2 linked regions of the Neurospora crassa OR74A genome follow. The protein of the gene in region 2 purifies or fractionates together with the protein of the main gene of each other region. This does not show direct contact. Links are inferred from orthologs where the notes say so. Each region holds a gene or a part of one and is shown on either strand. Other genes may lie near its edges.

Region 1 (4,050 bases), on a different chromosome or scaffold from region 2:
GGCCAACCTTGGCTTCGATACTCGTCGACCAAGATATCCCCGGGACCATAGTAATTATATATCCTTTAGCCTGGCTTGGGCCACAAGTTGTAGAGGTACTTTGGCTTAGTACCCGGTAACGGATCACACTTACACTGTCCGTACTCTCCATTAACGCTGCGCGTCTCGTCCCGGGATATGTTGTCGCCTGAGTTACTTTGTCAGCTCTGATCAACGCCGCAAGCAAACGAGCCAAGAAGATAAGATTTTCAGCGGTGCAAGAGCGCTTAGTACGGGGAAGGTGTAGAGGCAATGGGGTGAGATATCGAAGAGCTAGATAGCATGCAAATCATAGATCAGAGCATATCCAGCATCGAATAAAGCAACAAACAATAAGCTCAAGAAGTAACAAGACCGCCGACAAGGCCGATGATAAGGAGCAAAGATGACCCAAAACTCTGATATGTAAATCTATAGGACTAAGCAAGCTCAAATTTGCTCATCAACAAGCGAAACCAACGGCCCAGCATCCTCTTGATCCTGGATAGACTCTAGGCATGTTTAAATAATCCTCAAAGCCATGTAATGACTGGCTTGCAGTACCCTTGCGTCCCCAGGCCCAAACAATCTCCTTTGAAACTCGAATGGCCAGAATAGTCTCAGTTTTCGACGTGATACCCTGATGAAAGGGGAGGGACTCTCAGTTCGCAGATTTCAAACGCCATAAAGACGAACCAAGCTGTCGAGCATTTTAAGCGCCGATAAAAGCAACCTCTGCTTGACTATCCAGCGCCCTTCTCGTTCTTAGGGTGATTGACTGGTGATCGTTCTTGATGTGTTGTAGGCTGGCCAATTTCGCTGGTGAACAGGAGGTTCGTTGCGCGGTGACTTAGGAGTCGTGACGAGATCGTGAAAGGCGGCGTAAGATGGAAGCAACCGGGGTCACTCCGGATATCAGTCTAAGAACCCTGGTGCTTTATTCCCACAATGCTAAAACAAGGCAGATACCCAAACGCCATTCGCCGTTCCAGATTTACAAAACCATCCTGCCAGTAGAACACCGAATTATGTGAAGGTTCCAGAACAGAGCAACGAAGATAGAACAGTACTAATTCGAAACTCAGTTATCGACGAACTCCTTCTGCTGGTAGACGCAAGAAACCATGGCGTGGTCACGCTCGTAAGGCTCTGTGGGTGATTGTTAGTTATTGTTGGCTCTATCAACCAAAAGGGAAGCGGATGGACGTACCAAGAGTCAACTGCTCCTTGGGGAAAAACTTGTCCTCACGGAGCTTCTGGACCTCAGAGGCGAAGACCTGCTCGGGAGGAGCAGTGGAGTCAATGCAAGAAGCCTTGATAGAGATGAGAAGACCACCACCCTGCTTCAAGAAGAGCTTGGCGTTGATGCCGACAATTCTGAAATGTGTTAGTGTCAGGCACATACAGTGTCAAGGATCTGTATAAGTCGGCTTACCTGGCCTGATCGGGCTGGGCAACATCGGCGAAGATGACATCGACCATGGGGAGCAGCATGCGGTAAGCCATGGGCTTACGGGCATCCTCAACGATGGGGATGACGTTGGTGCGGCGAGTAGCCATGTTGATGAGGTCACGGCCGGAACGGTGAGAGAACTCGACGGCGTAAACGGAACCAGTAGGACCGACGATATCGGCAACGTGAGAGACCGAGGTACCGGAGGCAGCACCGAGGTAGAGGACCTTGGAACCAGGCTTCATATAGATGGTTTCAAGACCACCGAGGATACCGGCAGCAAGCTTCGAACGGAAAGGGTTCCAAATCTGCAAAGTCCAATGTTAGTCTTTGTCTGAGGCCACAAGCTGGAAAGCCTGGAAAACGTACGCGGTACTCAGTCTTGGTGGAAGCACCACCTTCCTCCTTAGAGGCGTTCTCGACAGAGATTCTCTTCTCGCCATAGACGGACTCGCCAGGGACAAGGTTGACGGTAGCGAGGAGATCCTCCTTACCACCACGAGCGACGAAGACGCCCTTGTGACGGTGAGGCTCGACGATGACCTTCTTGCCAGCAGCACCACCCTTGGCGCCACCGCGGGCACCACCGCGACCACGGGTAGCACTATACTCATAATGTCAGTCAATGTCTTTGGAGTAATCAAGGGTTTTGAACACAAGACGTACCCGCCACGGCCACCACCGCGAGGACCGCCACGACCACGGGGAGCACCACCACCACGGCCGCCTGTTAAGTCATTGTCAGTAAAGTGTTGCGTTAATGTGGTTGCTGTTGCCATCGCATGTTGAGTCGAGTTGCGATATGAAGTTCGACTGAAATCGCCATCCTACTACGAGAAGTCAAGAGGCATGCATGGCGACCACGGGCCGCAGCAGACGCAGAGACATCTCTCAAGATGACGAACAGAAGCAACGACATAACCGCAAAGACCATTCAGGCGATGGCATTGAGGCCAAACTCACCACCGAAGCCACCACGGCTACCGCCACGGGCGCCGCCTCTGCCACCACGATCACCACCGAATCCACCACGACCACCGCCACGGGCGCCGCCTCTGCCACCACGCTCGAAGCCCATTTTTATAGAATGTGTCGGTATTGATAAGTCGGAGTCGGTATGAGTTGCGATTCTGGGCCGAAACGCGTTGTAAGATCAGTCGTGCGAGGCACAATGGGTTTAGAGTTGTCGCGCGGCGCTGTCGAGGACTCGGAAAAGAGCTTTTGCTGGAGCTGGGTGCAAAATTTCCTGGACATGGATTGAAAGAAAAAAAAGCGGGGCACGAAGTCTCATCGCTGGAGCACTTTTTTTTCCGGTCGAGGCCTTCTGCCTTTGCAATTGGCTGTCGTCCTGGCGTGGCGGTCGAGGCTCTCCAGTTTGTTGCGGATGCTATCGTGCACGGCCGGCAGTCCAGGAGGCAGGCTGTTATCGGCGCTAGCACTTACTGTCCCCGCGTGCACGTGCCTCAGGCAAAGTGACGGTCCGCACGAGCCACCTGCGCAGTGCCCACAGAGCCCTAATCGCGAAAATCGGTTTTTGTACGCCAAAATTGGAACCCATCACCACCTCTGAACATCACACTTGGTCGATTCCCCGTCCTCTCATCGACAAGCAGGCAAGATGGTGAGTAAATCCCTGCGAAATCCGCCGAACGAGAGAATCGCCGCCGTTATTTTGCTTCAGGACAGTTTTCGGGCTTCTGCAGCCGAAATGACGACGAAAGTCTCAACGGACGACAATGACGGCTTTGCGAGCATTGCGAGCACTTGGAGGAGAGGGAATCGCTGACCGAGTCTTGTTCAAAATCGCAGGTTCGGTACGCTGCGACTGAGATTGCCCCGGCTAAGTCCGCCCGCTCGCGCGGCTCTTACCTCCGTGTCTCCTTCAAGAACACCCGTGAGACCGCCCAGGCCATCAATGGCTGGAAGCTCCAGCGTGCTCAGAAGTTCCTCGAGAACGTTCTTGAGAAGAAGGAGGCTGTCCCCATGAGACGCTACGCTGGTGGCACCGGCCGCGCCGCCCAAGGTACGACTTACTCGATATTTACATGCACAAACACACCCGAACCGGTACATCATGCGACGACGACGACGACAGTGGGGAGGACAAAGTGGCGGGGGAATAGGGGGGCATTGTCAGCATGATGGAACCGCGACCGACCGACACGAAACCGCAATCGAATGGAGGACATAGAAGACACGGTGCTGACCGTTTCTTCGTCATATAGGCAAGCAGTTCGGTGTTTCCCGCGCCCGCTGGCCCGCCAAGTCCGCCGAGTTCCTTCTCGGTCTCCTCAAGAACGCTGAGGCCAACGCCGATGCCAAGGGTCTTGACACTGGCAACCTCGTTGTCAAGCACATCCAGGTCAACCAGGCCCCCAAGCAGCGCCGCCGCACTTACCGCGCTCACGGTCGCGTACGTCAAACCCGGAGATACCCCCCTGATTTCTGCTTCTGCGCCGGCAGATAGACGATCAAGCCGGTCATTGGCTAACAGTTATGTTTTAGATCAACCCCTACATGTCCAACCCCTGCCACATCGAGCTCATCCTCACTGAGGCCGATGAGGTCGTCCAGAAGTC
Region 2 (4,136 bases):
AGTTCTCCTTCTCCTGCTTCTCATTGCTGTTCCCGGCGGAAGAGGTCGCACCGGTGCGGGCGATGTTCTCCGTAACGTGTACGAGCGGCGGGCGACTCGGCTTCTCTTTCTCGGTATCCTTGGTCTCTTCACAACGACCACTACCATCAGCTACCACAGCAGCAGCGGAAGAAGACTTGTTCTTTCTCTTCCTGTCTCTACAACGCCACTAACGCGCGCTGCCGCTGCCCTTGATGGCTTGCCTCCGCTTGACCTTGTCGGTGATACGAGTGAGCGCCGACTTTATCTCGCCCTTCTCAAAGGTATCGAGGTCGTAGTAGACGGGGGCAATTTCCTGGTTTACATAGGTCAGTTTCAAGATGCCATTGACAAAGGGAATTCATAAAAGGGGAATACGTACAAGAAGCCACTCAGGACGAATGTTGGTCACTGTCCTGACGTACTGCTTGGTTGTGAGAACGAACTCGTTATAGACGACCCAGTCGTATGGGCTCGTCACCGACGTACTCGGGTGGATCATGACGAGCTGGTCGTCCTTGACCGTCTTGTACACCTTGCTGTTGCTGCTCTCGCGCATGGCCACCTGCATGAAGAAGCCAGCCAGGAGCGCGCGGCGGATGTTGGTGTAGTAGTTCTTGTCCTGGAACGGCGTGCTGACCAGGCTAATGTCGTGCGTCTCCATAATACGCTTGAGCTGAGCCCGGACGTTATCGGCGCTCGACAGGTGACGGTATGAGAGGAAGTGCTCGTGGCACCAGCGCTTCATGTCGTCGCCATTGGTCTCGGCACCCTTGAAGGCGTGGTAGGCGTTCAGCAGCGTCAGGTGGTCGCCGTCGGGGTGGGCGAACTGCATCTTCATCTCGTCGGCCCGCTTACGCGCGTTGTTGGGGCGTACCCATATCGAAGGGACGGAGAGGAGGGACACAATGGAAAGGATCTCGTTGGAGCAGTAGAACTCGGGCGACGAAATAAGCATGACGGCGAGGGCGGGGTCAAGCGGGAACTCGGAAGCCAAACCACCGAGACGCGTAAGCTCACCATCGTCATCTAAGCAGGCGAGGTAGTTAAGCTCCTCCAGGGCGCGCATCATGGTCTCGGGCGCAGGAGGGTCCATGAGATCAAAGTGTACCAAATCCTCAACACCAAGCTTCTTCAACTCCAGAACAGTGTTGGCCAGGTTGGATCGGAGAATTTCAGGATAGGTTTGCTCAATAAGTTCCTTCTTGAAAGCCTTCTCGGTGTAAAGACGGAAGCATTTACCGGGCCGTGTACGACCAGCACGACCAGCTCTTTGCTGAGCAGAGGCCTTCGAGATAGGAGAAACCAACAAAGACTCAACACGAGAGCGGGGGTTGTAAATCTTTTGCTTGCTGAAACCGGGGTCGACGACGTAGACGATACCATCGATTGTCAAGGACGTCTCGGCAATATTGGTCGAGACAATGACCTTGCGACCAGGCCTGCCACCCTTGCGCAGGGGCTCGGGGGCCTTTTCGAAAATGCGCTGTTGGTGCGCAGGAGGGAGAGTGCCGTAAAGAGGGTAAACCTTCATGGGGCCAGCATCCGACTCGCGAATCATGTCGTCCACCTCCAAGCTGATTCTTCGGCAAGCATCCTCAATCTCCTCCTCACCAGTAAGGAACAGCAAGATGTCTCCCTCGGGTTCAGTGGCGTGGATCTGGAGGACGGTCCGTACGGCGGCCTCGAGGTAGTCACGCTCGGGCTCGGGGGTATAGAAGATCTCGACGGGATGGGTACGACCGGGGACGGCGAGCAATGGGGCGTTGTAGAAGTAGGACTGGAACTTTTGGGCATCGAGCGTGGCAGACATGACAATGATCTTGAGGTCTGACCTGCGGGCGGCGATCTGCTTGAGCAGGGCCATGAGGATATCGGTCGCGAGGGTACGTTCGTGGGCTTCATCGAGAATGATGCAGCTGTAGCGGGACATGTCGTGGTCGTGCATGGACTCGCGCAGGAGCTGACCATCCGTCATGTACTTGAGCATGGTCTTGGGGCCGGTCCGGTTCTCGAAACGAATGCTGTAACCGACTTCCTGGCCCAGTTCGACATCCAACTCGTTCGCGACACGCTGGGCAACCGACATGGCCGCCACCCTTCGGGGCTGGGTACAGGCGATGAGCTTGCCGTTCGTGTGGGGGAGCTCGTCGTAGAGGACGTATTGGGGGATCTGGGTGGTCTTTCCGGAACCCGTCTCACCGACGAAGACGAGGATCTGGGTGTTGTGGTACATGTCGAGGAACTCCTGGCGCTGCTTGTGGACGGGGAGGTCGCGCCTCACTTTGAGGATGTCGAAGTATCTCTGCGAGTGCGGCTGGCCGGTCCACGGGTTGAGCTCCGAGTCCTCGGCCTGGGCGGCCTGGGCGGCGGTGGTCTTGTGCCTCTCGAAGGCGTCGAGGGGCGATTCGAAGTCGCCATTGGTGCCGTTGCCGTTGCCGTCCTCGTTGAGATGGGCGAGGTAGGGGTTGTACTTTTCGGGGGCAGCATCGCCATTCTCGGCACGCTTGATGCGCTTTGAGTCCTGGTCGTTGCCGTCCATGTTGGATCTCTTGACGCCTTTGTCGTCGTGGCTGGCCATTGTGGTACCGACCGAGGGCAGCTGGCCTTTTTTTTATATCTTGTTTCTTCGAGCGAGAGGGGTGGGTACTAGGAAACAAAACAAGAAGACCGAACTGAAGGGGAAGAAGAGAAGCGGCGATAGGCAAAACAGAAGGCGGAGTGTCGATTATGGCACCTCCAGTGGCAGTGATGAACAACAGCGAAACAGAGTGGAGGGGAGGGCAGTGGGCAGGCATGCGAGGCTACAACTTTTTTTTTGTTTGATGTCAGGGCGATAGGTCAGACCTGGCCGGCAGTTCCTGGCCGCAGCGACTCTCGACCAATGAGGGGTCACAGTGATAAGCTTCAGTGGAGTAAGGAGTGTCTTTGGCAAGCGCTGATAAGCAAATCACTGTAGCATTGGACAGGACCCTGATGGGCACTAAGACGGTAATTTTCTACACTGTTCTGTAACTGTCAGGTTCACTCAGTTTGTTCCTGCTGCACGTGAAGAAGAAAAAAAAAAGAAAGAAAAAAAGAGGCAAAATGCAGGCAGGTTGATGAAGTTTGTGACATTGTGACATTGTGACATTGTGACTTTTGGCGCATTGGGTTTGTGTGCAATCTTTCTTTCACTCAGCTATTTCATTTTCCATGTACCTATCCATCTATACCCCTCCATACCTGTTTATTTCGAGTTGGTGACCGTTGAGGTTGGACTTTTTCCTCTGGTGCTTCTTCCCTGGAAATATCCACTGCCATGGGGTCAGTCCGTTTTGGGAAAAATAAAAAAAAAGTACCATCCAACTTTGATTTCAGTCTTTACAATTTTCCCTGTGATTGGGTCCGATACCTCATCAAAGTACAGCCTATACATTCTTCTACTGTATACAGGCCCCAGAGACTAGTATAGCTACCTTCTCCGTACCCCTCCCGCTGCTGTTCGTACCACCTCAAACCTAACCTGGACCATCGCGGGGTTATTTACTTCTAGTCTCGTCCACTCTCTTTCACTCACTCGGATTCACATAAAAGTCCAGTCACTCACTCATCATGTCTTCAAATCGCGGGTTTAACCCCGAGTCCGAGTCTTTCGAGCAACGGCCGCCCTTTTACATTGGCCAGCATGATGTCCAACGACATGAGTCGCCCACTGACAATCAGTACGGCCAGATCTTGGACAGTGGTGTAAGTCTTTCCTTACATTAAAGTAGGAAGAGAAAGAAGAACGAGCAACAGCATAAATTCTAACACACATGAGATGAGAATAGTTCAACTTTGTCACCACCCCCATCACCAACGAGCACTTTCACCAGCGCGTGATCGACTTGTACAAGAGCCATCTCCAAGAACGGGAACAGTGGGTCACCGAACGGGGACTCACTGACGCCCAAAAGGCCAACCCGTCGCTGCCACTTCCTACGGTTCCTACCTTGACTGACGACGATACATCCCTGTTTCCCAGCAGCTATGTTGGCTCGCTCATCGCCTATGCCAGCCCATGGATCGACCTCTGCTCTGCCGATCCCATCATCTCAGACATCTCCCGTCAGGTGCTGAACCTCGAGCTCGCCTAC

What was found.
Region 1: the proteins of NCU01612 (region 2) and NCU03702 purify together in Saccharomyces cerevisiae (affinity purification with mass spectrometry, with the first as the bait; 5 studies listed by BioGRID). This does not show direct contact. The link is inferred for Neurospora crassa OR74A from reciprocal best matches to the Saccharomyces cerevisiae genes PRP43 and NOP1.

The regions. Positions count from the first base shown.
Region 1 is NC_026505.1:2,139,411-2,143,460, forward strand, and holds NCU03702 (rRNA methyltransferase NOP1), read right to left. Parts: upstream 2,837-4,050; 5' UTR 2,550-2,836; coding exon 2,435-2,549; intron 2,199-2,434; coding exon 2,138-2,198; intron 2,076-2,137; coding exon 1,841-2,075; intron 1,780-1,840; coding exon 1,454-1,779; intron 1,396-1,453; coding exon 1,229-1,395; intron 1,168-1,228; coding exon 1,100-1,167; 3' UTR 284-1,099; downstream 1-283. Other genes in the region: NCU03703 (60S ribosomal protein L17), read left to right, coding at 3,090-3,092, 3,281-3,494, 3,697-3,884, 3,977-4,050.
Region 2 is NC_026502.1:2,956,879-2,961,014, reverse strand, and holds the start of NCU01612 (pre-mRNA splicing factor ATP-dependent RNA helicase PRP43), read right to left. Parts: upstream 2,824-4,136; 5' UTR 2,600-2,823; coding exon 401-2,599; intron 335-400; coding exon 209-334; 3' UTR 1-208. Other genes in the region: pp-2 (protein arginine N-methyltransferase HSL7), read left to right, coding at 3,613-3,747, 3,831-4,136. UniProt on the Saccharomyces cerevisiae protein: Pre-mRNA processing factor involved in disassembly of spliceosomes after the release of mature mRNA.